Macaca mulatta: one gene and its partners. The protein of the gene in region 3 interacts with the protein of the main gene of each other region in a pairwise test. Links are inferred from orthologs where the notes say so. Each region holds a gene or a part of one and is shown on either strand. Other genes may lie near its edges.

What was found.
Region 1: the proteins of ABI2 (region 3) and VASP interact in binary tests that used the Homo sapiens proteins (3 or more experiments, as listed by UniProt). The link is inferred for Macaca mulatta from reciprocal best matches to the Homo sapiens genes ABI2 and VASP.
Region 2: the proteins of ABI2 (region 3) and VARS2 interact in binary tests that used the Homo sapiens proteins (3 or more experiments, as listed by UniProt). The link is inferred for Macaca mulatta from reciprocal best matches to the Homo sapiens genes ABI2 and VARS2.
Region 4: the proteins of ABI2 (region 3) and ARHGAP32 interact in binary tests that used the Homo sapiens proteins (3 or more experiments, as listed by UniProt). The link is inferred for Macaca mulatta from reciprocal best matches to the Homo sapiens genes ABI2 and ARHGAP32.
Region 5: the proteins of ABI2 (region 3) and TFIP11 interact in binary tests that used the Homo sapiens proteins (3 or more experiments, as listed by UniProt). The link is inferred for Macaca mulatta from reciprocal best matches to the Homo sapiens genes ABI2 and TFIP11.
Region 6: the proteins of ABI2 (region 3) and GCC1 interact in binary tests that used the Homo sapiens proteins (3 or more experiments, as listed by UniProt). The link is inferred for Macaca mulatta from reciprocal best matches to the Homo sapiens genes ABI2 and GCC1.
Region 7: the proteins of ABI2 (region 3) and KRT20 interact in binary tests that used the Homo sapiens proteins (3 or more experiments, as listed by UniProt). The link is inferred for Macaca mulatta from reciprocal best matches to the Homo sapiens genes ABI2 and KRT20.

What each region holds. Positions count from the first base shown.
Region 1 is NC_133424.1:58,036,574-58,040,811, reverse strand, and holds the start of VASP (vasodilator-stimulated phosphoprotein), read right to left. Parts: upstream 2,801-4,238; 5' UTR 2,508-2,800; coding exon 2,503-2,507; intron 1-2,502. UniProt on the Homo sapiens protein: Ena/VASP proteins are actin-associated proteins involved in a range of processes dependent on cytoskeleton remodeling and cell polarity such as axon guidance, lamellipodial and filopodial dynamics, platelet activation and cell migration.
Region 2 is NC_133409.1:152,131,930-152,135,429, forward strand, and holds part of VARS2 (valine--tRNA ligase, mitochondrial), read right to left. Parts: intron 3,195-3,500; coding exon 3,118-3,194; intron 3,030-3,117; coding exon 2,954-3,029; intron 2,670-2,953; coding exon 2,567-2,669; intron 2,334-2,566; coding exon 2,263-2,333; intron 2,143-2,262; coding exon 2,017-2,142; intron 1,810-2,016; coding exon 1,705-1,809; intron 1,574-1,704; coding exon 1,505-1,573; intron 1,385-1,504; coding exon 1,306-1,384; intron 1,179-1,305; coding exon 1,051-1,178; intron 927-1,050; coding exon 774-926; intron 1-773. UniProt on the Homo sapiens protein: Catalyzes the attachment of valine to tRNA(Val) in a two-step reaction: valine is first activated by ATP to form Val-AMP and then transferred to the acceptor end of tRNA(Val).
Region 3 is NC_133417.1:108,554,709-108,558,765, reverse strand, and holds the start of ABI2 (abl interactor 2), read right to left. Parts: upstream 2,801-4,057; 5' UTR 2,587-2,800; coding exon 2,470-2,586; intron 1-2,469. UniProt on the Homo sapiens protein: Regulator of actin cytoskeleton dynamics underlying cell motility and adhesion. Functions as a component of the WAVE complex, which activates actin nucleating machinery Arp2/3 to drive lamellipodia formation.
Region 4 is NC_133419.1:129,329,624-129,333,123, reverse strand, and holds part of ARHGAP32 (rho GTPase-activating protein 32), read left to right. Parts: coding exon 1-1,061; 3' UTR 1,062-3,500. UniProt on the Homo sapiens protein: GTPase-activating protein (GAP) promoting GTP hydrolysis on RHOA, CDC42 and RAC1 small GTPases. May be involved in the differentiation of neuronal cells during the formation of neurite extensions.
Region 5 is NC_133415.1:25,059,231-25,062,730, reverse strand, and holds part of TFIP11 (tuftelin-interacting protein 11), read right to left. Parts: intron 1,643-3,500; coding exon 1,474-1,642; intron 1,064-1,473; coding exon 820-1,063; intron 1-819. UniProt on the Homo sapiens protein: Involved in pre-mRNA splicing, specifically in spliceosome disassembly during late-stage splicing events. Intron turnover seems to proceed through reactions in two lariat-intron associated complexes termed Intron Large (IL) and Intron Small (IS).
Region 6 is NC_133408.1:167,434,214-167,438,510, forward strand, and holds the start of GCC1 (GRIP and coiled-coil domain-containing protein 1), read right to left. Parts: upstream 2,801-4,297; 5' UTR 2,386-2,800; coding exon 1,354-2,385; intron 477-1,353; coding exon 1-476. UniProt on the Homo sapiens protein: Probably involved in maintaining Golgi structure.
Region 7 is NC_133421.1:65,266,522-65,270,694, forward strand, and holds the start of KRT20 (keratin, type I cytoskeletal 20), read right to left. Parts: upstream 2,801-4,173; 5' UTR 1,774-2,800; coding exon 1,384-1,773; intron 1-1,383. UniProt on the Homo sapiens protein: Plays a significant role in maintaining keratin filament organization in intestinal epithelia. When phosphorylated, plays a role in the secretion of mucin in the small intestine.

The DNA of each region.
Region 1 (4,238 bases), on a different chromosome or scaffold from region 3:
GAGCCAAGATCGCGCCATTTCACTCCAGCCTGGGCAACAAGAGCAAAAAAAAAAAAAAAAAAACAACCCAGAATTGCTGTCAGGCACAAAAATGCCCCACATAAAATAGATGCTTGATCAAATGGTCTCTTATTTAAAAAAAAATAAAAATAGCTATTATTGGAAGAAAGAAATAGACCCCAATTCTCCCCAAGTCCCTTCTGCCCTGAGATTCTAGACCTCTGCCTCGCTTCTCTGTCTTCCCAGCACCCCAGCTCCAGTCCGGGACACAGCCGACACTCAACAAATATTTGTCAAATTGGGAGAAAAAGAACTATATCTTGTAATTTTCCATCTTAACATCCTCTCTTCCAACTGCCCCCAGGACTGTCCCCCAGCCAAACCAGCCAGAAATCAGAGGATCCTAGGTTCCTCCACCCCTCCAACATTGCCTAGGAATTTCTGAGGGATCTTGGCCATGTCTTTTTCTCTTTGAGCCTCAGTTTCCCCAGCTGGGTAATAGGGGCATGGGTTTTGAATCCTGGCTGTCCTTGGAGAAGAGGCACAGCCCAGTAAGTCGGGTGTGACCACCTGCAGGGGAGACCCCTGGAAAGGTGGGAGTGGCCTTCTGGTGGGACAGGCATCTGGTCACTTCTGCACTGCACCCCACCCCAGCACCCCCACAAGGTGGGATGCTTGATCACCGCCCCAGCAAGAGGTGGGCCCTGTGGGAGGGCCAGGGCTTCCAGGGCTGCTGGTGGTGGTGGTGGTGGTGGTGGGGAGGGCAGGGGGCCGGCCCAGACACCACTCCTGCCCTTTTACGGTTGCAGTGAGTGAGGCAGCACTAACTCGGACATCCGCCATCCGCCTTCCACTGAGCCTGGGACCGGAAACGCGAGGGGGGTGGAGGGGCGGGGCTGGGGGGCAAGGGGAGAGAAGAGTCCCGGAGGAAGAGGGCGAAGGAAGAGAGCGACGCTCCCTAAACTGACCCCTCTCCAGGGCGGACTTGGAAGGGATGTTGCTATAATGGGGAGCGGATAGGATAGGCAGGAAGTCTTGAGGGTATCTGTGGGTGTCCTCCTTGCTCCAAATTTTCCAGCCATGCCTTTCACATCAGAAGGAACAAACGCGGGAGGGGAATTCTCTAGTGGTCATAAAAAGGAACGCCACTCCACTCCGATGTCAAAGGGCAGGGGTTCAGGAAATGCAGGGGATGTGGGCACCACGGGGTTAATCCCCAGCCGTCCCCAGGGGCCTCCCTGCTAAGGCTGGGGGCTTTGGGGCAGGAAGTCCCAGAGAGAGTGGAGGAAGGGAGATAGTATTGTCAGGCTCTGGCCCCATGGGAGAGATTATGGGGGGCCAGGGGAGGGGAGAATGGGAGGATGGTTGGGTCCCCCTGCCCACACTGGCCCCGCCCTCAGGTGAGTCCAGGAGTTCGGGGGAGGCCCCGGCCAGACCAAATCCCTGGGTCCCTTGGGCCGCCGCCCCCAGGATTAAATTCCTGGGAAGATAGCTGGAATTATCTGGGAAGCCTGGGTCCCTAGGGAAGAGGGCTATGACCTTGAAGCTTTCCAGCTCCCCTTCCTCCAACCCCAAGGCTCCGGATGGATGGGGGGGGCGGCGAGCAAAGGGGGAGGCGCCGTGGTGGGGAAGGCAGCCGGCCCACAGCGCTCGGTGCCCGCCCCCCACACCAGCTGTCTCGACAGGTGAGTCAGGAAGACAAAGGCCCCCTTCCCCCAGCTGCTGCGTCCCCTCCCTCCCCAGGGCCGCGCAGGTGGGGGAGCCGGGCCGCCCTTATGGCCCGGGGCAGGGAGCCGCCCTCTGCTCCGAGCGCCCGCTCTGTCCTAGGCACTGCCTGTTAAGCAGATTGCGTGCGGAGCGACGGGGGAGGGGAATCCCACCAGACTCCGGAGGCTGCGTCCGGGTCCCTGGATCGGTTCATACCAGCCTCTTCCACAGGAAGACCTAAGTGCCCCCCAAAATTTAGGGGATTAAGAAGTACCCCCGAAGTTCAGGAGCGCGGTCTCACTTGGGGAGACTTTTTCCAGCACCACGTAAACGGGGTCCCTGCACACCAAGGGTCTGAGTCTCAGTCTCTCTTCCAAGTCCCAGGGTCTCCCAAACCAGTCCCCCACAATCCTTCCCCGACCTCGAGCTGAAGTTTGGGGGGAGGGGGAGGAAAGTCTGAGCCCTGCCTCAATCCTGGCATCCCTGCGGGGAGTCGCTGCCAACTTTGAGGTCCTCTGAAAAAAAGTCTTAACAATTCGGGAGTCCTCCGAGCGTCCCCAAATCTTGAGGGCTCCCAGGGGAACCTCACCGCCACCACCCCCCGAGCTTGGGAAGTCAGTCGTGGAGAAGTGATCGACGGTTTTGGGGCTTGTCCTAGGGGATTCAGCCCAAATCCGAGGCTCCCAAGGATCTGTCCCCAAATTCCAGCCCGGAGCGAGCTTGGGGGGAGGGGGACAAAGGCGGGGCGCGGAGCCCGCCCGGGCGGGGACGGGTCGGGGGGCAGGTCCGGCTCACCTCATGGCTGATCTGCGGGCGGGCGGCGCGCCCACGGACTGGCTGCTCCCGGGGCGCCCCTGGCTGGAGGTTCAGGGGTTCGGGGCTGGCTCCGGGCTCGACTCAGGCTCCCCCAGGGTCCCGCCCCATAGAGTCCGGCTTCCTGGGTAGAACGTGGACCGGGCCGGGGCGGGTCTCCGGGCGCCGCTTCCCTCAGGCGATCTGATGAGAGGTCCCTGCGGCAGAAAGGGGATGCGGCGTCTGCTCCCCGACGCGCCCCCCTTGCCGGCGGCGGCTACACTGTTACTCTTACTACTGTACTTCTCTTCGTTACATTTCGTTCCAAAATTCCACTCCCCGCACCCACAATGCCCCGCGCCTTAAAGGGGCCGCGCGCGCCTCCAGGCGAGGGGGTGGAGGGCGCTTAAAAGGGCAACTCGGCACCCTCTGCTTCCGCGATCTTGCTGCTCTCCCCAACGTTATCGTCCAGGGGTGCACCCTGGGAGTCACCACCACATGGAGGGGCAAGCTTGGTGAAGGGGAAGGCGACCTCCCTTGCTCCCTAGTTCGCTTCCACTGTGGGAATTCTCAGGAGCGTCTCGGAAGGGGCACGATTTCTTTCCCCATCGACTTCTCCATCTCGTACTCCGCTCAATTTTGGGGGTCGAAGAGGACCCTCCAGTTAGTTAAGCAAGTGGTCTCAGATTTTCTCCCTGAAATTCCATCTTCGGAACCCCGCCCCTCCCCAGCGTCTCTCTTCTGTCAATTTCGGAGGGGTTACTAAGGGGGCGAGCCCCCCACCCGCGCGGGAGGGGAGGTGGGGGGGAGTAGGGCCCCACCCCTCTCACCCCACCCCGCCCGCCCCGGGAAGGTGAGGAGGAAGTGGGCCAAGGGGGCGCGGTCGGCCGCTGACTCACAGCCGCAGGGTCGGGGGTGGGGTGGGGGTGGAGGTGGGGACTGGCGAGGAGTGCCGGAGTTGGGGGCCTGGCATTCGCCCGAGGTGGGCAGGAGGCGCCGGCTTCTTGGGTATGTAAAGCCTCCGACCCACGTACGCCCCGCTCTGACTCAGTTTCGCCTGCGGAGGACAGCAGGATCATCCCAGCCCTCAGGAGGGCCCGGAGGTGAGGAGACCCTCCCCGGAGCCCCCGCCCCCACACGCCGGCTCCAGGCTGAGCCCAGACACCCTCCGAGGCTTCCGCAGCGTGTCTTGCCGGCCACGCCCCGAGTGACGTCACTGATGTGGTCGCGCCCCTTGGGTAGAGCGCCACCTGGCCCGGGTGAGGGCCCGGGTGAGGCCCTGGGAAATCAGTTTCACGTTTACACATGGGTAAACTGAGGCCTGGAGACAGGGAATGAATCTGGCCTATGACCCTCTTGCCTGAGCCCCCAGAACCCGGAAAGCCACCAAGATCTGAGTGTAAAACCAACAATTCTCAGGGCCAGCTGACTAGGTGAGAGAATCCACTTTTCCAGCGTATTTCCAAGCCGAGTCCCATGTCCGGATGTTTTCCTGACCTCCTTTACCTGGAGAGCACTTCCTCCTTACAGGCCAAGCTCTGACATTAATTACCCTCCCCTTCTCCACCCCACTCTGGGAGATCTTGAACCCTGATCCTCAGAGGTTATCATTGTTTCTCAGTGTGTCTCCTGAGGCTGAGTTGTCTGGGAGAAGGGGTAGACTTAATTTCTTTTTTCTTTCTTTTTTTTTTTTTTTTGAGATACAGTCTCCCTCTGTCGCCCAGGCTGGAGGGCACTGG
Region 2 (3,500 bases), on a different chromosome or scaffold from region 3:
TCCTGCCTCAGCCTCCCGAGTAGCTGGGACTACAGGCGCCCGCCACCTCACCCGGCTAGTTTTTTGTATTTTTTAGTAGAGACGGGGTTTCACCGGGTTCGCCAGGATGGTCTCGGTCTCCTGACCTTGTGATCCGCCCGTCTCGGCCTCCCAAAGTGCTGGGATTACAGGCGTGAGCCACCGCGCCCGGCGGAACAGAGGTTTTTAAAAGGCTGAGCTAGGGCAGTGGTCCACAGCCAGCAGCAGCAGCACCACTTGGGACAAGAAATGAATATTCATGACACCCACCCACCCCCACCCCAACCTGCTGAAGGAGCCACTCTGGGGTGGCGGGAGGATCCATGTGCTTTGGAGGCACAAGCCCTCCAGGTGCTTTGGACGTAGGACAGCGTGAGAACCCTTGGTCTAAAGACCACTGTTAGTCCCTCCCAGGCCTCTCTCAGCACGCAGCCTGCCCATGGGCCAAACTCAGCAACTACAGGGACTGAAAAAATTCCCCTCTGCCTTCTGACACTGACTTGTGAGACATTTCTAGAAGTCTCCCTCCTCCTCTTCTCCCCAGGTGACAGGCAGGCAACAGTGCCTGGGCTGCACTGCGAAACCAGTCCCAGGAAGAGGGGAACTGAGACTCCCTCATCTCCTCTCCTCTCCTTTCCTAACTTGAGGGGATAACTGGGGAATTATTAACTCCAGAGCTCTCTGCCTTGGAATCGGATTTCCAGAGGAATTAGAAGCAGGCATGGGAATGCCAAGCCTCCCCCAGCCTCGCTCACCAGGTAGACGTCACAGAGGTTGTGGAGCCAGAAGTGGTGCAGGGAGTGAGTGACCAGCGAGAGCTCTCGGGTGAGGAAGCCCCGCTCACACTCCCGGGCGGTCAGGGCAAGGCGGCTCAGGATCCAGGCGTCCATGTGGCAGGAGGGAGACAGCTACAGGCAAAGAGGGCTTCAGGCCCAGGACGGCCTGACTCCCCTCCCCTGCCTCCTTCCAGATGCCACCTTGGCCCTCTGACACCTGACTACCCTACTCCCAAGCACCTCTGCTTTCTCTTACCTCCTTAGCAGGCTGTGGCACAAATTTCTCCCCTAAGGCATTGAGGATAAAGCGCAGAGCATTCCAGATCTTGTTGCAGAAATGTCGGCAGCTCTGGACCTCAGAGACTGACAGGCGCAAGTCGCCCCCTGGAAGGGGAGAATCAAGGTAGTCTGCATGTAGGTGGCGGCAGCACTGGAAGTCCTGCCCCTGCCTTGCCCCTGCACAGGCGCCTGCTGCTCTCTGCTCACCCCGAGACCCCTCACCCAGGCTTACCCTGAACTCCATGGGAGCAGAGTGTGAATCTCAGGGCATCTGTCCCACACTCAGGGATCCCATGAGGAAAGTCCTTTTTCTGCAACCAGAGGAAGAAGGGTGGCAGATGCCTTTGTGGCTGCAGGGCCAGGACCCGGGTTGCAGAGGAAGCCAGAGGCGGTGAGCTAGAGCTGGGAGGGGGCAGGCAGCGATGACTCACCTGTGCTGCAGCCACAATGGCCAGCTCCGCGGGGTCCAAATTTCCACTTCTCAGCTTTTCCTGCAGCACCTGGGGATGGAAGGGGGTAATTTACAGCCCAGGTCAAAGGCCCTGCCTCTACTTGCTGGCCTCACTCCTCCCTCAGCCTCCCTTCCTCTCTCCTACAAACCCTGTCCCTCCAGTGGGTGCTTTGTCCTCACCTGCATCTCCGCCCCACTGATGATGTGTCTTGGGTCCAGCACATTCCCCAGGGACTTGCTCATCTTCCGGCCCTGCCTGTCCCGAACCATGGGATGAAGAAGCACCTGGGGGCGGGGAGGGGTCAGCAGAGGGGGGTTTCCTTCCCTTGAGATCTCTGGCCCTCTGGCCTCCATACTTTTGGGGCTAGGGTGGCAAGTGAATTGGGAAAAAGGAATCGGGAACGTGGAAAGGACATTAGGGGTCAGAAGGGAGGACAAGGTTTGGGGAACACTGGGGTCACAGAAAGCGGCCAGGCACTGAAGGGCTGTTACCTTGCTGAAGGGCAGCCGCCCTGTGAGCTGGGTCCCCAACATGACCATGCGGCCCACCCAGAACAGCAGAAGGTCACTGCCCGTTTCCAAAAGTGACAGCGGGTAGAAACGAGCAAGGTCTGGGGTCTAAGGGGAAGAGGAGCAGTAAGAGGCCCAGGTCCCGGGCCCCCCTCAAGCCTCTGTGGGGGCCCAGCCGTCCCTTCCTTATCGTTTCCCCTTCACTTTCGCCCTCTCAACCCACCTCACCTCTTGGGGCCAGCCCAGGGCAGAAAAGGGGAACAGGGCAGAAGAGAACCAAGTGTCCAGGACATCAGGGTCTGGGAAACAGAAAAAGAATGGGGACAATTGGAACCTTGGCTTCTAGGACCTCAGACCACCGCTGCCACCATTCTAGGCCAACCTCCACCCCCAGAGACCAGGGTTGTCCCCTTTGGCTCCATTCCCAACTTTCCTGACCCTACCTTCTCCATCTCAGGATCAGCTCCCCTCAAAGGCCCAGATGCCCAGTACCCCACTCCCCTGTGCATCCCTCCCCAGCTCAGGCACTCACCCCTCTCCAGGGCCAGCTCTGCCCCTGGCCTCCCTGTCAGTTCTGCTGCTACCTCTCTGGCCTCAGCCTCTGACCGCCCAACCACCCAACAGTCCTCTTCTCCCTGCAAAAGTAGGAAGGAGTCGGGGAGAGTGAGGAAGAACAGCTGACAGGTGCAAATGTCCCTTTGTTTTCACATCCTCTCATGTGGTCTTAGAGTGGCCAAGTTCCTCCAGTGGTGAGATAAAGAAACGCCACTTCAGGGAGCTTTGATCGCACAGAAGGGTACGTGACTACAGCATGAAGCACGTTACCAGGCAGGAGCAGGGCCTGGCACTGCGGAGCTCTGACTCCTGGGCTAGGTGCTTTGCGCCACACCCGGCCCTCCGGGTGCTTCTTCCTACCCACCTGCGCGTGGTCCTCTACAACCAGGTAGGCTGGAATCTGATGGCCCCACCACAGCTGCCGGGAGACACACCAGTCCCTGCCGGGAGGACATCCATGAAGTCTTAGAATAACCAGTCGGTCCCCCCGCCCCATCTCCACGAGAGCTCCCCTTACCCTACCCTTACCCAATATGGGAAAACCAGTGCTGCCAGTTCTTCTGGTGGAAGGAGGGACTGAGCTCCAGGGCCCCCGACTCCACAGCCTGGAGGGAAAAGGGCCTTTAGACAATGTTTCCCTTCCTGCATGGCCTCACCTCCACAGATAGGACGAGTGGCCTCTGAGGTCATTTTAAAACTCAGAAGGACCTCCCAAGCCTCTTGCCAAGATTCTGGGCTTAAGTAAGGATATGAGGCAGCCCTTGCTGAGCCGCCCAGCCTCCATCCCACACATCCTCTCAGTTACCACAGCTGGAGAGGTCTTTGGGGCAGGAGGTCTCCTGCTTCCCATTTCTTCATTCCAATTCTCAGGGAGCTCCCCGAACCCCTGGCCCCAGTCCTTCCTATACTGC
Region 3 (4,057 bases):
AATCTAAGTTCATTTCTATTAAATTAATATTAATATTTATGTTTTAAATTATAAAATGTCACCACACTAAATTTTGAGTCCCATTGCTAAAACAGATACTGAGAGTAGTGACATTTTTCTCTTTTCAACTGCAGGAAATGTATATAATATTTAAAAAGACAACTGCTGCTCCCTTTAACCTTTCAGCTTTAATAATCCTTATCCTTTTACCTTTATATAGCAATTATAACTTAAGACGAACTTGTCCCTTCAAATTACAACAAAAAACCATCTTGCAAAAGAGAGAGAAATCTGCTTATTTTTTATTTCTTACTGGTAATAATTGCAATCCACTTTTCCACCCTCAATTTCTCTTCTGACCTGCAACTCTTTCCCCATAATATGCTGCACAAGGCAATGGAATTACCACTTCAGTCCTTTAGGTTTTGCCTCTACTAGAGTTTGTGAATTCCCTCAGAACAGCATTGCTTCCTCCAGTCCTCCTTGGCACCAGCAGTGCACTACAGAGCGTAAATTAACTACATGGTATTAATTTCCTCCAAGATCAGCCTCTCCTACTAACTAGACTATCAAACTCTGTAGACACTAGGTATGTACCATCCACCCCTCACACAGTTCTAGGCCATAAAAGACTTTCAATTTTAGAGAAACATTGAGCAACCGAACCTTTTTTTTTTTTTTTTTTTTTTGAGATGTAGTTTTACTCTTGTCGCCCAGGCCTGAACCTCTGAATCTTTTCTACCCCACTCATATCAGCAAAGTACCTTACAAGTGGACATTTGTATGTTTTTGTATTAACCTTGCCTACATTCCTTTCCTAGTAGCCATACTCAACTGCCTCTTGAGGGAACAGGTTTATACTGTGGTTCATTTTCAAATACAAATGTTGTCTACAAGATAATAGTATGTCTAATCAAACAAAATCTCACTTCCGTGATCAACAATGTGGCCATTACAAAACTTATGAACCTATAAAATTGTAACACCAGTTTCTTAAAATTTACACTAAAACATGAAAATGCTTTCCTATACAGCTAACGTTAAGAAAGGTGCCTCACGCCTATAATCCCAGCACTTTGGAAGGCCGAGGTGGGTGGATCACTTGAGGTCAGGAGTTCGAGACCAGTCTGGCCAACATGGTGAAACCCCATCTTTACTAAAAATACAAAAATTAGCCGGCTCTGGTGGCGGGCGTCTGTAGTCCCAGCTACTCGGGAAGCTGAAGCACGAGAATTTGCGCAAACCTAGGAGGCCGAGGTTTCAGTGAGTCGAGATTGGGCCACCGCACTCCAACCTGAGCTACAGATCGAGATTGTGTCTCAAAAATAAAAGAAAAAAGAAAGATCCCTGGAGAGATGGAGGTGGGAGCAGGGGGGGGGGAAAAAAAAGGACTGTGAAGAAACAGTTCAACATACTGCTTCCATTTCCACCTTTATCCCAAGAGAATTTAAATAGGAAAGAAAAAAAAATGGAGGCAGAATCCATAATTCAAAATAACCGTTAACAAAAAAGCAAAAGATGCTGGATTTTGCAAACTGCATTTTAACCTGCTATCCTTTCAAGTAATGTTTAAAGAAGGATTTTTCTTTAATCCACAGAATATTTTGCTTCATCCAGGAGCAGCTGGATCTCGTATCATCCAGTATCCCCCGCCTCCACACACACGCCGCTACCACTATAAGCCCCTGTGCCAAACGATCCATCACGGTAAAAAATAATAATTAAAAAAAAATTTTAAAAACAGGAGGTTCATCTTCCCGATTCTAAGAAACAGTCATAGTCCGTCCTCTTCCCACCCCCAGGAAAATTGCCTATTCTAACGGGACTAGGAGGGAGGGGGGAGTCAGCTCACCATCCTTCTCCACAGGGAGAAAAATGGCATTAACTTCCAACAAGAGACTGCTGCTCTTCTACCGTATCCCCTTTAGAACATAAAATATTAAGAAAGGGTTTCTGAAGCATTCACAGGAACAGAAAACTGAAGCCTGAAGCACTTCACTCTGCAGCAAGATAGCCCCTTAAAAATCGTCCAGAATGTGGGGGATGGAAGTAACCCGTCAATACAAGCGACACCCCTACCCTAAGAGGGAGCAGGATTCCGTCAAACAGAAAATGCCACTCTCCGCCCCCTCTGCCATCCGGAACGCTGACCGGCGCGGAGTGCGGGGGCGGCCGAGGGCAGCAGCGGCGAGGAGGCGGGACGCGACACACGCACCGCGCCGAGGACTGCTTCACGGCTTTTAAAAAGGTTTTAAAAATGCAGTTTCTCCAGCCGGAGGATTCCCACCCATTCACCAGCCCCAGCCCTCACCCAGCTCCCCACCCCCATCGGGGACTCCGCCGGGCCGTGTCCCCGCGGCGGCCTCGGCCCCACACCCCGAGGCGCGCGGCCCCCCATGGGGGGGTCCCCTACGCGTTCCTCACCGCCCCCTGAGGCCCGACGCGCCCCAGCGGGGGATGCTCTCGCACCTGGATGTAGTTGTTCTCGCAGTAATCGGCCACCCGTTCCAGATTCGTGTAGCTGTCGAAGAGGGCCCGGCGGCCCCCCGGGATTTCCTCTTCCAGCAGCATCTGCAACTCCGCCATCTTCACATCCTCCTCCTCCTCCTCCTCCTCACACAGCTCGCAGAGGGAACGGCGGCCGCAGCGCCAGAGAAACCCAGGACCGGGAGAGGAGGAGCGGTGGCGACGGCGGCGGTAACTCGGGAGGAGCGAGAAACAGCCCCAGCGCGCGACAGGGGAGGGGGCGACGGGGGCGGGGCGCGAGCCGACGGACTGCGAGGACGGTCACCGCGGCGACGGCCGGCCGGGCGCGCGCACGCGCGCTCCCCTCCCTCCGCCCCCGGGAGCCCGAAAAAGATTCCCACCCTCGCCCGCGCCGCCGGCCCCTCCCCCACTTCCGGCGTCTCCTAGCGACGGCGGGGGTAGGAGCGGGATGCGCACGGGAGGTGGTGGTGCTGTTAACCCTTCCGCCGCCCGCCCACCGCTGGAGCAACTCGAGAAGCCCCCACCTCCCGGCGTCCTTTGTTAGTCCGGCGGGAACGCACCACCCTGCTCTGCTGGCTTCCCGCTGGCTTCCTCCGGGACTCATCTCGGCTCTGTCCCCATGGAGGTTATCGGCCTGGGGAACTTCTCGAGTCTTTTCTGCCTCTGCCGCTGACGGGAGGCCGAAGGAGGGCACAGCCTCCACTCTTGGGATCCTCCTCTGTGAAAGATCACACTTCATCAGGGCAGGAATAAAACTCACAAACTTCCACGCAGTTTTCAATGCCACCTGACTTCATTTTTCTTAAATTTGACCTCATCCTCTTTATTGCAGTGAATTGCAGTTTCCTAACCCCAGCTTTCCTGCGCTCCTGCCTCTTTGCACTTCCCCCACTAACGCCGTTCTCCCCTGCCAGGTTAGCCCCTTTCTCTTGTGGTTTGCGGACCCCTGGGCCTCAGCTTTTTATGTTTGCCATTTCTATGAATCGCTTCCTCACGATCTTTTCTGTCATTTCTCTAATGCTATCAACTTCGCTGTCCTTTTTCCTATTCATGGATTCGGTATTTAAAATTTTGAAAACGATTTTGCTAGTAGTAATTGCCTTCTTCACAGGGCTGTTACATAGATAAAATCAACGTTTACGTGAAAACACCTTGAAGAAACATCAAGTGCTACAAAAATTCAAGGCAGATTCTTGAATTTTGTTCTTGCAGAGTTATAATTGTTTTTATTCTCCAGATACTGTGTCTTGTTTTCCTAAATCCGACTACCCCACACAGTGTAATCTGGAAAAACTAAAACTCCGGACAATTGCTGAGATATGAAGCCATGACCTTTATTTGTGCTGTGGAAAATCAAAGTTGACTCCAGTCTGTACCATCTTAGACTTGTGTAGTTAGAACAAGATCCATTGTTTCAACACTGTTCTTAATCTGGTGATCTCTTGGCCCTCCTACAGTGAATTTTTTTTCACTCAGATGATGAGGAAACATACTTTCCAAAAAAAGTCACTTTAGCCCGGGCGCGGTGGCTCACGCCTGTAATCCCAGCACTTTGGGAGGTCGAGGCGGG
Region 4 (3,500 bases), on a different chromosome or scaffold from region 3:
TGAAGCACACCTACACCTCATGGGATCTTGAGGACATGGAAAAATACCGCATGCAGTCCATCCGGAGAGAGAGCCGTGCTCGGCAGAAGGTGAAAGGGCCTGTCATGTCCCAGTATGATAACATGACCCCGGCCGTGCAGGACGACTTGGGTGGGATCTATGTCATCCATCTGCGTAGTAAATCAGATCCTGGGAAAACTGGACTTCTGTCAGTGGCAGAAGGAAAGGAAGGCCGCCATGCAGCCAAGGCCATCAGTCCCGAGGGAGAGGACCGCTTCTACAGGAGGCATCCCGAGGCAGAGATGGACAGAGCCCACCACCACGGAGGCCATGGTAGCACGCAGCCGGAGAAGCCATCCCTGCCGCAGAAGCAGAGCAGCCTGAGGAGCAGGAAGCTTCCTGACATGGGCTGCAGTCTCCCTGAGCACAGGGCGCACCAGGAAGCAAGCCATAGGCAGTTCTGTGAGTCAAAGAATGGGCCCCCTTATCCCCAGGGAGCTGGCCAGTTAGATTATGGGTCCAAAGGGATTCCAGACACTTCTGAGCCAGTCAGCTACCATAACTCTGGAGTGAAATATGCTGCATCCGGGCAAGAATCTTTAAGACTGAACCACAAAGAGGTGAGGCTCTCCAAAGAGATGGAGCGACCTTGGGCTAGGCAGCCTTCTGCCCCAGAGAAACACTCCAGAGACTGCTACAAGGAGGAAGAACACCTCACTCAGTCAATGGTCCCACCCCCTAAACCAGAGAGGAGTCATAGCCTCAAACTCCATCACACCCAGAACGTGGAGAGGGACCCCAGTGTGCTGTACCAATACCAACCGCACGGCAAGCGCCAGAGCAGCGTGGCTGTTGTGTCTCAGTATGATAACCTGGAAGATTACCACCCCCTGCCTCAGCACCAGCGGGGAGGCTTTGCAGGGGGCGGCATGGGGACGTATGTGCCCCCCGGCTTTCCCCATCCGCAGAGCAGGACCTATGCTACAGCTTTGGGTCAAGGGGCCTTCCTGCCTACAGAGTGGTCCTTGCAGCATCCTGAAACACAGATCCATGCAGAATGAGCCCTGGAGCAATAGAGTTGAAGCAGCCTCTGCTGGACAGTGGACTGTTCTATTTTTTTCAATAACCAAAAAGATTAAAAAACAAAAAATACTATAAAACCCCTGGCCACATTTAAAAAAAGATAATAAAAGTAAACACATCACCATCTTTTTCCCCTTCCCTGCTTCATTACCACCTCTTCCATCTATAGACTTTGTCATTTTTGTCTTTAGAAAAGATCCGAAGGATGGTACAACCCCGTGCTGAAACCCAGTAGAGAAACCTGTCGCAGGACACAGATCTAGGGCTAGCTTGAAAGAGCCTGAGGACTGCCTTTCACTGAATTCGAATTCAGCGTTGTCCTTTCTTCTTAGTATTTGCTGCGTAATTGAGAGCAGCTCACACCGATGTCCTGGTAGCCTTCTGCATTCCCTGTTGTCTTCCTGCTTCTCCATCAGTAGCTGCACAACTTGCCCAGATTGACACACTCTTCTCACTTCACTCGCCCCATCTGAGAAGGAGCTTGTGTTCAGTTAGAGTCGTCGAAAAATCCCTGATCCTTCAAGATCAGTCAGTCAGACAGCAACATTATAATTAAAAATAAGAAATTAAGACTTTAAATTAAACATTTGGTAGAGTCATCATAAAACACCAGACCACTTAGACTCAGGCTGAACCATACTTTTTCTATTCTTATTTTCCATCCTTGTTCCTCACGGCTCAATGAATGGGCTCATATCATGACAGAAGGGATTTTTAAAAGTTAGTATTTAAGGAAACTTCTTAGGTGGAAGATAGTAAAGTTCTTATTGTCAGTGAACTTTGTTAGCACCAGAAAACTCTTATTGATGCTTTTAATGCATTGCCTGCCTTCAGGTTTTCTTCTTACCCCACCCCTCAATAATGTTTGGTGAATTGTAATTCTAGTAAAACATGTCATACCATTGGTTTTCCTAAATTATCAGCTTTCTTTCATTAAAAAAGCCCAGCATGGTTTGACTGGATAGACACACATAATTTATTATGAATATAAATTTCCGTGTTTGTTTCTGTTTCTAAACCTGAGTACAGGATCCCTGGGAATTTAAGTAGCTACAAATTATCTATTATTAGACTGCAAGTTCCTGCAATAACGGCTTAGTACACAGCCCCATTTCATCAGTGGAGTTCTGGGCAGTTATCATTGCTGTCCTAAGCCATTACTGTCATTTGCTTACTCTGTACTTGTGTGGTCACAGTCGTGTTGTAATTACCATCTACACCAGCATTTCAGGTATAGCTCTTTATAACTCTGGAGACATGTTAAACATGTTTAACACCTGCAGCTTTTGAAAGTTGCATTCCTTATTAGAGTAGGAACTCTCTAGCCCAGCTCCATTCTATGTTCTCAGCTCCCTCCACTCCACAAAATACATCAGACTAGCAAGGCAGTCCTATGTTTACAAAATGAGTTTAGATTGTCATTTCATTCCATAACTCTTAATAATACTCAAGTTTTATACATTCACATATTTTAAATGCTCAGTCTGTAGAAGACACTAGGAGAATTGCATTCCATTTATTGGATGGTTGCTGCTCTGGCTTTTTAGAACTTGAAATTTTTATTTAGAGCAGAGGAGGAAATCTTTTAAGAGGCTAAAATCATGCTGCTATTATTGCTGTGAAATTGTATAAAGATTAGGATTCATGCCAGTTTTTATTTTAAAAAATAATGTGCATTTTAAGGGTTTATATTTAGAAAAAGAAATAAAATGTTTTAAGAACAACACATTGATATGTGGGAATATTCTATAAGGTTTTCTTTTGTTCCCTTAGAATTCACTGGAGGGATGCAGTAAAAACCGTAGTAGAAACCTTGAAACTCCCATATGTGAAAAGGTCTGGAAATTGAGGCCTCTACATTAAAAGTGCAGACCCAACTGGTATGTAGTCAAAGTGCTAGGAAACTTGTTAGGATACTTCCCTTTGGCACAAAAATACCCTGGGTGCTACATACAGGAGTTTGACCTTTGGTGAATATGTGGCACTAATTTTTTTTACCTTAATCGTATTTTTGTCAAATAGGCAACCCATTGCCCCTTGGAGACCACACCAGCCCTGTAAGTTCTCACCAGCAGCATGGAGGTTAGGAAGAGGGGCTGCTGTGACCAGGAGATACACATGGCTTCAGTAACTGAGAGCCTGAAGGAAGTAACCCAGGGAGTCCGGTCCAGTTGTAATATTTGTGGATTTGTTGTCGCACACATTGTTTAGTCCTGAAACTAAAGCCTTTTTTATAAATAGTAGGGTTAATTCCTCAAAGCAATTTCTTTATTCATAAATGTCCTATGGGTTTAGAAATATCAGGTAAATATTTCGAATATAGAATGATGATTGCAATTACTGTTATAAGCGTGAAACACAAACTTTAGATCAAATCTAGAGTTACTTCATTTAATGCATGCTAGCAGCAGCCTTAA
Region 5 (3,500 bases), on a different chromosome or scaffold from region 3:
TCAAGTGACTCTTGTGCCTCAGCCTCCTAAGTAGCTGGGAGTACAGGTGTGCACCACCGCGGCCGGCTAATTTTTGTGTTTTTATTAGAGACAGGGTTTTGCCATGTTGCCCAGGCTGGTCTCAAACTCCTGATCTCAGGTGATCTGCCACCTCAGCCTCCCAAAGTGCTGGGATTACAGGCATGAGTCACGGCTCCTGGCGGTTTTTTTTTTTTTTTTTTTTTTGAGACAGGGTCTCACCGTTGCCCAGGCTGGAGTGCAATGGCAGATCTCAGCTCACTGCAACCTCTGCCTCCCAGGTTCAAGCCATCCTCCCTAGTAGCTGGGACCACAGGCACATGCCACCACACCTGGCTAGTTTTTGTATTTTTGGTAGAGACGGGGTTTAACCATGTTGCTCAGGCTTTAATCTGCTTTAAAGGTCAAATTTAAGCTCCTGACATAGCAATTCTTAAAAAAAATTATATATATATATGTGTGTTTTTTTTGCTAAACCAGAAATAACTCCCTAATAATTTAGAATAAAATACCACAAAAATTTCAGAACTCCAATGGCTGTCCTGTTACCAGAAGCCAAAGCCAATCAGGAAAACCACAAGGCACAGAGTCCGATGTTGTTACTGTCAACTATTAGTCGCTGTTGTAAACAAACAGCGGAAAGGACCCAAGTTACATTTATGTTCAGCCTCTGAACAGCAAGGAATATTGTGTACTAAGCACTTTCATGAATACAAAGGCTATGCTTTAAATCACCACTGACCACAGAAACCAGGGCACCAAAGCTGCTGGGCCTGGACTGCATTTTCCCCATATCCTTACCCAGCTTGGGCACTATGTTTTTGACCATGAATGCTTCCCAGGAGCCAGGAGTGAAGACATCCTTCCAGGGCTGGAGGATAAGCTTGGCAGAGGAGTCACTGGGGTGCCACTTCTGCAGGGCACTGGACAGCTTGCTACGGATGGGGGAATAGAGCGGCTCCAGCCGTGCCTGCATAAGGGGCAACCATGGGTGGATCCAAGAGTGGATGGGAACAGTGTCTGTGAGCGGGTTCCAGTTTTCCACCTGCAATGTGGGGAGAAGAAACAGAAGAAACAGTTCATGTCGCCTATTGGGCAGTCACATAACACCCGTGTGGTTAAAGGCAAGAGCTGCCCCTGGAGGAGGCCCCATGCTCTCCAAGGCCCATGGTCCTTTGTACATCGCCAAACAAATATGCCCATTCATTTGATTACCTCTCAGAAATAGCATAATTCTAATTTTAGTGAAGAAATCAAGAAAATGAATTCCCTCCTGAGGGTGGCTTGGGGGGAAAAGTGCTGAGAAAAAGGCTGGAATTAACACTCTAGGTCAACAGTTGTGTTGACAAATTCTGTTAATTCCAGGCGTTTTAACAGCACTGAGATAATGAAGACATAGACTGAACAAGTCCCTGTGGTTAGTGATGACAGTTGTTCCTGTGACTCTCACCCCACCTCCTTTTGCAGCTTGGGGAAGATGAGTTGGTCCAGTATGTTATCTAAGATCCACACAGGAATGATGTGCACCCAACTATCCAAAAAGTCCACCATCGGGTCACAGTTCCTTGGCTGCCACTGAGTGACAATATTTCGAACAAAAGGCATCCAGACTTCCCATATCAACCTATGGGAGAAAGGCAGAGGACAGGCTGGTTAATTACACTGATTGGTTTCAAAGAACACCACCACCGCCCACCTCTCTAGAATCAGAAATAAAAATGCAACAGCATGGAAATCCGATCAGAGGAAACCATCAGGCCAGTCACCATGCTGGCCAGACCTGAGCCTGCTTCTTCCTTGTTCTCGTGACTCTCCTCTCGAACTGAGGCCTTGGTCTCGTAGGCAGTGCCCGCCCACCTGGCAGAGCTGCTTTAGGGTCACAAGGGTCTCTTCCTAGGTATCAAGTGCTTTCCCACCTATAGGCTTCTATTCATGAGCTGACATCTCTCACCCTCTGATCACAGTTTCAATGTCACCTCTAAGACCTCTGTCCTAACCCCCATTCCAAGGAGGTCGCTCCTGCAGTTTTCTATCACTGTACCTGGTGTGCATCCTGCCTTTATTTGTTCACTACCTTATTTCCCATCTGCCTTTTCTGCTGTACTAAAGACAGAGGCTGTCTGCTGTACTAGGGTAAGCCCAGCACCTAGCACAAGCATGATATTCAACAGACATTTGACAAGTGTCAGCTGAATTCATGGCCAAATGTAATTGTACAACCACTATGGAAAACAGTGTGGAGATTCCTTAGAAAACTAAAAGTACAACCACCATTTGATCCAGCAATCCCACTACTGGGTATCTACCCAGAAGAAAAGAAGTCATGGCTGGGTGCGGTGGCTCACGCCTGTAAACCCAGCACTTTGGGAGGCCAAGGCAGGCGGATCATGAGGTCAAGAGATTGAGACTATCCTGGCCATCATGGTGAAACCCCGTGCCTACTAAAAATACAAAAGTTAGCTGGGCGTGGTGGTGCATGCCCGTAGTCCCAGCTACTTGGGAGGCTGAGGCAGGAGAATTGCTTGAACCCCGGAGGCAGAGGTTGCAGTGAGCCAAGATCACGCCACTGTACTCCAGCCTGGCAACAAAGCGAGACTTCATCTCAAAAAAAAAACACAAAAGAAATCATTTTATGAAAAAGATATTTGCTCACACAAGTTTACAGTAGCACAATTCACAACTGCAAAAATGTGGAACCAACCCAAATGCCCACCAATCAACAAGTAGATAAAGAAACTGGTACATATATATATAATGGAATATGACTCAGCCATAAAAAGGAATGAATTAATGGCATTCGCAGCAACCTGGTTGGAATTGGAGACTACTATTCTAAGTGAAGTAACTCAAGAATGGAAAACCAAACATCTTGTGTTTTCACTCATAAGCGGAAGCTAAGCTATGAGGATGCAAAGGCGTAAGAATGACACAATGGACTTTGGGGACTTGGGGAAAGGGTGAACGGGGTGAGGGATAAAAGACTACAAATTAAGCCAGGCACGGTGGCTCACGCCTGTAATCCCAGCACTTTGGGAGGCCAAGGCGGGTGGATCACGAGATCAGGGGATGGAGATCATCCTGGCCAACATGGTGAAACCCTGTCTCTACTAAAAATACAAACATTAGCTGGGTGTGGTGGTGCATGCCTGTGATCCCAGCTACTCGGGAGGCTGAGGCAGAATTGCTTGAACCAGGCAGCTGGAGGTTGCAGTGAGCTGAGATCACACCACTGCACTCTAGCGTGGCGAAAGAGTAAAACTCCGTCTCACAAAAAAAAGACTACAAATTGGGTTCAATGTATACTGCTCAGGAGATGGGTACACCAAAATCTCACGAATCACCACCAAAGAACTTACTCATGTAACCAAATACTACTTGTTCCCCAAAACCCTGTGGAAATAAAACATTTCAAAAAAAATAAAATAAAAAATAAAATAAATTCATGGCCAAATGAATTTAAATTCCTAAAGCGGTGTCAGCAT
Region 6 (4,297 bases), on a different chromosome or scaffold from region 3:
AGGACGACCTGGGCCCTCATCTTGTACCTCTCAAACTCTTCCTTCAGCTGTTTCAGCTCCTGTTGGTAATAGAGTGCAGTAGCCTTCTCCCCATCAGCAGCCTCCGAGCTAGGCATTATCTCCAGGTCACAGAGCTTCTCCACATCCAGGGTCACCTGGCTTTTCCTGGCTGCAACCTGCAGCAACCTCTTCAGCCTCTCCATCTTATCCTTCAGGACATTGACATCCAGACTGGATTCCTCTCCATGGCTGTCTAAAGGGGACCTGCTGGAGGCTGCTAGAGCCAGTGTCTTGTTCTCCAGGTCCAGCTGCAGAATGCGCTCCTTCAGCTTTTGAATGGCCAGCTGGTCCTTCTGCTTGGCTTTCTCATAGGTGCCTAGCAGCTCAGACACCTCGGATATTTGATTTTCCAGGGCTGCCACCCTCTGTTCTTCCACCTGAGATTGCTGACGGAGTTGATCCTCTGCAAGAGCTGTCTGGAAAACAAGGGAACAGACAAAAATGCATCCACAAAAGCCCCACAGCAAACTTCGAGAAACCAGTTCCTGGTTTCGAAGGAGAGGGGAGCAAAAGGGTCACAGGTTTGGGATGGCCTGGCAAGAATGTGAACTAGGGATTTTTCGGTTGCTTCAGGAGCTAACAAAAGTTCCTATTACCTGCTTGGGTTCTGCAAAACACATATACCGAACAATATTAAGCACCTTGGTATATCTGCTATTGTTCTGCTTTCCACCTAACTCACATGTAATGTGTGTTACTGTTGTTTTTCTGGTGCTTCCTCAAATCCTATTAAGAAATCATACAACATTCTTTTCCTTATCCAATATTCCTGGAAGTTCAAAACTGAGCCGGATTTCCCTCTCCACACTGAAAGGAGGCACCCTTTCAATACCTGTTCTGGTATAGCACTTCTCCAAAACAGGTAAATCTTGAGTAAAGGCAATGACAAGAGGTTACTTCTGAGAAAATCCCCTTTGCCTTCAGCCACCCTCCCTAGAAGCACATACCAAGAGAACATTTGGACACACTACCTTTTACTGGACACATTACCTTTTACTGTACAGATGCTGCTATACTGCTTCATAGACCACAGCTGGTAAGATGCCAATGCCCAGAAGTGCAGAGCTGTCTGGCTTCAACCCAGCCTCCACTGAGAAGCTCCACATCCTCCTGGAAGCACACACGTCAACACCACATAGAACAGGACTTCCCAGGTTCTCTAGTGGAACTTCTCAGGCAGCATCAAAAATGACACTGTAGACACTTAGCTCTAACTAGCAAAGGAGGAAAAAAACCCTAATAGTTCTCACTTCAGGTCAATGACTGATGTTTGAAAAAGATGTGGATAATTACCTTTCTCATTTCCTGCTGTAACTGAGCCTGGAAATGGCTCTTAAGGCGGGCAGCCTCTTCCTGAAGTTCTTGCAGCCGGGGGTCTGGCTGATTCTTCTCATCTCGAATGACCTGCAGTTCACTTTTCAGCTCCTCCACCTCACGGGTCAGCTGCTTGGTCTGCAGTTCAAATCCTTCCATCTGTTCAGCTGCATATGCTCGTCCTGCCAGGGCTTCTCGGGTCTCTTCTAACCTAAGCTCCAAGTCCTGGCGCTGGGTCCTCTCCTCCTGCAGCAGCTTCTGGAGCTCACGCAGCATCAAGGCATGGTCACTCTGCTCTTGGGCCCGATCATGCTGCTGTGTGATAAGTCGGGCTTTGGTTTCTGCTATTTGCTCCTGCAGCCCCTTCAATTCTCCCTCCAGGCGGGCCCTCTCCTCCTCCGCCTTGTTACTGGCATCCTCTAAGTCCTGTTTCATCTTCTTCTTGTCAGCCACGTAAGAAGCCTCCATGCGGGACTTCTCCTGAGTGACTGTGGCCAAAGAACTAGTCAAAGTAGCCAACTGAGTCTTCAGTTGGTGCAGTCTTTTGTCCACCTCCCCAACTGCAAATGGCCCATCCCCACTGCTACTGCTAACGCCACTTTCGGACCCACTGGCCTCTTCGGACTTTGGAGGTGGTGGTCCCCGGGCCGGTCTGTCATCTTCTACCCCAAACTCACCCTTGGTGCTGGTGAGACTGGCCGCAGTATCCAAGCTAGTGGCGGTCCCAGTGCTATCCTCGCTGTGAGTGGAGCACCGGTCATCCACAGAGTCAGGAAATGTGAGGCCTGGAAGCTGGACACCTACGAGGCCCACATCTGCCTCGTGGGATACCGACAGCACCTTGATGCTGGCCTCTAGCGCCTCTTTCTCCTTCAGTAGGCTTTTATAGGCACGGACCACATCCTTGAGCCGTGCCTGATACTGGAGAAGCTGCTTCTTCTGCGTCTCTATAGTCTCCAGCAAGTCTTTCTTGCTCGGGCCGCCTCCGAAATTCATCCCAAACTTCTCCATGGAGGTTCTGAACGGATTGCCCCACGTCAGCTTTCCGGCAGAACGGGAGAGGGCCGCGAAGACGCAGGGGTGGGCTTAAAGAAACAGCTAGCGGGCTCTCCGGCGGCGGGCCGCACACCTACTCCACCCAGTTATCCCGGACCTAATGCGGATCGGCGGGAAGGACTGGAGAAAGCGGCCGCCGGGTCCCAGGCCCAGAGGGCTGGGGCGGATTCTATCCCGGAGGCGGAGCGACACTGGCACCAGAGGCGCGCGCACTGCCAGGGCTCGTCAGCGCTGGCCGAAATGCCGCTCCGCACTCTCCGCTCGTCTGGGTCACAACAGCCCGGGCCGGCCCCCTCGGCCCACGTCGGCCAGAGGCTTACGCTGACCCATCACGACTTCCTAACTACATCTGCCGACAACGGCGCTTCCGTGTCCGCTGGAAGTGACGTCAGCGATGCGCCGCAGGCTCCGCCCCCAGTGGGCGCGAGGTAGGCGGGGCCACATCGGCCCGCTGAGAATGTGCAGTGGGGCCGCGAGCGGCAAACAACAGGTTTGGGAAGGGTGAAGCCAGCAAAGTCGAAGACACCAGAGTGGTACTGGTTTTGTGAGGGCGCCCAAGCTTGACCTCGGGCTACGATCAGCGAGCGACAGAGGGCAACGTCGCACTGCATTCTTAACAAACACCCAGGTGAACCACACATCCAACGATTTGGGAGCTCAGGACCCATATCCCTAAAAGGCAACAATTAAGACTCCCATTTAGACCACGAAAACTGCACTCCTCTCTAGCACAGTGCTTGGTACCTAGTAGGCATACAGCGTAATAGTACCCTTCCTTAGTTCTGCCGAGTTGATTCAACAAATATTTATGGAGGGCACTCTATAGCCATGTCTATTCTGAGTGCCAGCTATATACCAGGAGCTCACAAGAGTTTTGCTATTTAGTCTTTACAATAATTCTTGTAAGCACTATACTCATTAGCAATATTTTACAGATATGAAAACATGAGGCAGAAAGGTTATACGTAACATGCCCAAGGTCACACAGCTAGTAAGTTTAGGAGTTCTATCCTAATCAGTCTGATTCTCAACATATCACGTGCTGTGCTAGATGGTAACACCATTAAGAGACACAACCTTGCCCTCAGGGAGCTCACAATCTAGTGAGGAACCAGATATACAAATATGTCCTGCTATCACACCAGTATGTCTGAGTATATTCAAAGTGGCATGAAAGTTAAGAGGAAAGAGGCCTGTCTAGGTGAGGCATAGAAGGCTCTTGGGAATAATACTTCGGGATTTTAAGAATGAGTCCTGATTGTCCACCTAACCAGAGATCAGGGAAACTAGCATTCCAGGTAGGTGCAAAAAATGCAAAGACCTGTAGGGTATCAGAGTTTGACTCACCTAGAAAGCATTCAGTAGCTTAGGGTATGTGAAGGAGATGACAACAGAGGGGCTGGCACAATAGGTAGGGGCTCAACTTACAGCATTTAAATTTTATCTTGGGTTATAGTAAGGCCCTAAATGGATTTTAATCTGAACAGTGGGATGTCATCAAGACTTGTATGACATGTTGGAGGGAACAAGGGGCAAGGAGACCTCTGAGGAGACTCAGTCATGGGGGAAGAGAAGGTAGTGATAACAGAGATGGAAACAAAGAGGCTGATAAAAGAGCTAAATGTAGAATTGATCTAACTTGGTGAACACTAGTTCTGTTATTATATTGGAACTCTCTAAAATGTACTCTTCAGCCTCATAAAAGCCTTCTTAGTGATGCAAATCTATGACTGAAGGAAAAAGGAAAGTCATGCACTCACTCCTATCTGTTTCCCGAAGTCTGTCCTTGGTATAGACTTTGCAGGTCAGGATGGGGCAGGACCTGGAGGTCTGTTCAGACCCCGTTTCTCAGTGGCCCAAATAACAT
Region 7 (4,173 bases), on a different chromosome or scaffold from region 3:
GATCTGCCTGTGCTCTCATTATCCCTCTGTGTGCTGGTCCCTCTGTCCATCCCTGTTTCCTCATAAATCACATTGTGTCCACCATACTATTCCTCAGTGCCTAGCATGGTGCCCAGCACCTAGGTAGTGTCATTCAGTATTGGCTGAATGAAAGAACATGATACATAAAAGAACTAAATGCATGATGGATGCATATAGATGAAAAATCTACTTGCAGAGGATGTTGCAATGACATTTCTCTTTCAATGGATCCAGTTTTGGAGAGGGCTGCTCCCTACGGTTGGGACTGTCCAGCTCAATGGGACGGATGGCCTGTGCCTGTGTATTTGAGATGAGCCAAAGTAGAGTCAGAAACATGAGACAGGTGTGGTTCGAACATTTTTAGTGAGAGCCTAAGAAGGAGGAACTTTATTCCGGAAGGGCAATTTAAATACCATTGCTTCACACGCCCATAGTTTCTAAAATTCCAAAGCAACTTCCCATAGAGTCCGAATCAAATTGCTCTGATGTTTAGCACAACTCAAGAAAAATAGACTTGCTGGTAAGTAAATGGGCTTTACTCTAAAGGAATATGAATGAATCTTAACACAGAAATGACAGTGAACACTTCTCTTGATTAGATAAGAGCTTTAATTCGAAGCAAGTGCTCTGTGTCATATATGAAATTTTCAATTAGGAGCAAAGTCTTCTGCTTTTATTCCATGCAACTGATAAAATACAGAGCTCCACCCTTTTTTTGATGACATAGGAGGAGGTTGTGATATGATTGCAATAAACATGAATTGGGGGCAATAGAATATTTTATTACTGTAGAATTAGTTTCTGAACTGCTTGATGCTGATGGTCATGTTATTAAACAGGGCACTTAAAAATCCAGGCATCATTAAGACCCATATTCCTGCCACACTGTTTCCACCCAGAATCACTTTGTTATTTAAATCTGCAGTACAGTATTCTAATGGTCATACCTTATAATATTTACTTAAATAAAAGGAGAAAAGTCTTTGAATTGACTGGGGTTTCAAAACTTGAGGACTAGATGAAAAACTAAGAGAGATTTATCACATAATTAATTTTTAGCTCTTTTCAGAAAGATTGCTCACTATACATTTAGCCCTGATGTGGTAAGCTGTGACAAAGATTTATTTTATTCCGGAGGATAAAATGTTCATATTTTGTATATAATTATATTAAACATTAAAAATAGCATGATTTAAGGTCATCCTATTATACAGTCTAAAGGTAGATGAAAGAATTTTTGTAGATGTAACATTTTAGCCTAATTGTCTTTACAACGTCCATTTGGACCTGCCTAACATAGATAACCTCTTGATTTAACTTTCAGTTAAACACAGACTAGGAAACACAGGCGTCATCTCTCACCTGATTTCGCAGCTCTTCAATTTGTTTGTAATACGCGCTGTAGTCACGACCAGCCCTCGGGGCGTTGGTTTCGTACCACTGCTTGATCTGCACTTCAAGTCTGGAGTTGGACTGCTCCAGGGTCCGCACCTTTTCTAGGTAGCTCGCTAGACGGTCATTTAGGTTCTGCATGGCCATTTTCTCATTGCCAACAAACAGGTCCCCGCCGCCGGTGAGGTCGCTCCCATAGTTCACCGTGTGTCTGGAGTTGGAGATGCGGATGCCTCGGCCTCCAGCACCCCCATAAACGCTGGGTGTCATCCCGAGGCGCTGCGTGCCCACTGTACTGACTACAGAGGCCTGCAAGGAGTTGCTGAGGCTTCTGTGGAAGCTTCTGCGACTGAAATCCATTGCAGATTCCAGGAGGGAGCACCTGTAGCTTCAGGATGGTTGGGGCAGAGTGTGTCTCATGGAGGGTGTTGAGCTAGCCTTTTATGAAGTCCACAGGCAAGAAACTCCTCCTCTGCTGACATGTCACTAGGATTGGCACCACGGTCCACCTTGCCTTGCTTCCACGCCCCCCCCTTTGTATAACAATATGTTAATATGTTTAATTCAATTCCAGAAAATAGCACTAGAGGCATTTATTGGAGGCTTTTATCAGGGGCAACTTTTTTTTTTTTTAATTAAACAGGTAACAAAAGGAAACAGGAAGGTGTGTTCTTTTAGCCCGTGCACCTGCCTTGGCAGGTTTTTTTCATCCTAACATACACATAAAGAATATTTATAATCCTCATGTATAATTTAGGTATGTAAAAAGGCAGATGTGCCTACATAACTGAAAGTCACAATGGAGATAAAGGACAATGGTTTATTTGTATTGAGGAGTTGCTCTTCAGAACCTCTGTTTCATGCTTTACTTGTGTTTGGCTTTTAAGTTTATTCTGTTTTGGACATATTATTTTATAAGACTATTAATATATTTTGTACAGACACAAAACCTCAAATCCCTAAACCAGGAATGAAACCATTGTACATTTGGAGATGTAGTTTGGGGATATGAATTAAATGAATTTAGCTGAATGATGGACTAGATGATTTGGGAGGTTATTTTCTTTCTATTTCTAATGTTCTATGACTAAATAATGCATTTTAGGTTTCTAGTCACTGCCTGGCTTCAAGCCCTGTTACCAAGACACTTACAATAAATCGCACAGTGCTTTGCACCTGGCATGGTACCAGGATGGGTCTCCTCTTTTGTATAAGGCCAGCTTAACACCCACCATGAGACAGACTCTGCCCCATCCATCCGGAATCTACTTACAGGTGCTCCTTCTAGAATCCCCAGTGGATTTTAATTGCAGAAGCTTCCACGGAAGCCTGATCTTCCTTGTATGTCCCCACAATCACAGCAGGAGTGGCTGTATGTATAGGAAGTGGGGCAGGCGGGGCCTTGGGACTACACTCAGCATCCAGGGTTGGGCTGGAGGCAGCTGCTTGCGTGTGGACCTCCAGACACATGGGCGTGATCTCACCAGTGGGAATCTGATTGTAAGCACCCAATAAATGCCTGAGTCACTTGCTTCCCTTCATTCAAACCCCCTGGCTGAGAATTCACACCTCCCATGAAGCAAGTAAATCACTTCCTTAATCAAGTTAATTAGAAGGGATTGGAAAAGTCACTAAAAACATCTAATTAATTGTCATCCTGATACTTTAATGGAATTGAGATTTGTATATAATTAAAGCAAGCAAGCAAGTAAATGCAAAAATAAAAAATTGGAATTTACTTGTCTTATTTTAGAGGCTTATTTGTTGTTGCTGTTGTTCTGAAAGCCAATCACTTAAAAATTTTTTTTTGAGCTTTTAGAAACCAGTGGCTTTTTTACTTTTGAGTTTAAATTTTTTTACAGACAACTTTCTTCTAAAATAAGGTCAGATCACATTATTTCTCTCTTATGAACAGTATACTTTAAAATAATACATTGTGTTTGATTTTATCTCAGTTATATCACAGAAATAAAAATTGAGATAAAACGGGATCTACTTTATGCATTTTATGGTATATGTGTGGACAGCTCTTACATTTTTATCCATTCATGTATTCATCAGCCAGTACTGAGCACTCACCACCAATGACTGGACTGGTAGCAAGAAGACCTTGCTAACTTATTAGAGTTATAAATTACTTTGTTAATAGATGTCACAGCTAAACTCTGTAGCAGAGAAGAACTTTTTATAAACACATGAACTATGTTCTTTACACATATATTCAAAGATGAATTGCTTTTTGTGTTGATTAATGGGGTAGGAGGAGATTGTTAGATTAAAGTCATTGGAAAATTATACTATTTAAATTACACACGTTTTATAGTAAGTTGGTCTCAGCCAAGAGTTTCATATGCTAACACATGATCAAAGTGTGTAGAAGCATTATTTATTTATTGATTGATTTTTGAGATGCAGTCTCTATCTGTCGCCCAGGCTGGAGTGCAGTGGCTGCGATCTCGGCTCACTGCAAGCTCTGCCTCCTGGGTTCACGCCATTCTCCTGCCTCAGCCTCCCGAGTAGCTGGGATTACAGGGGCCCGCCACCTCACCCAGCTAATTTTTTTGTATTTTCAGTAGAGACGGGGTTTCACCGTGTTAGCCAGGATGGTCTCGATCTCTTGACCTCATGATCTGCCCACCTTGGCCTCCCAAAGTGCTGGGATTACAGGCGTGAGCCACCGTGCCTGGCCAGAAGCATTATTAAGTCAATAGTTAGCTTTATAATTAGAAAAGAACATAAGTGTGGTTGTTAAACAGGATG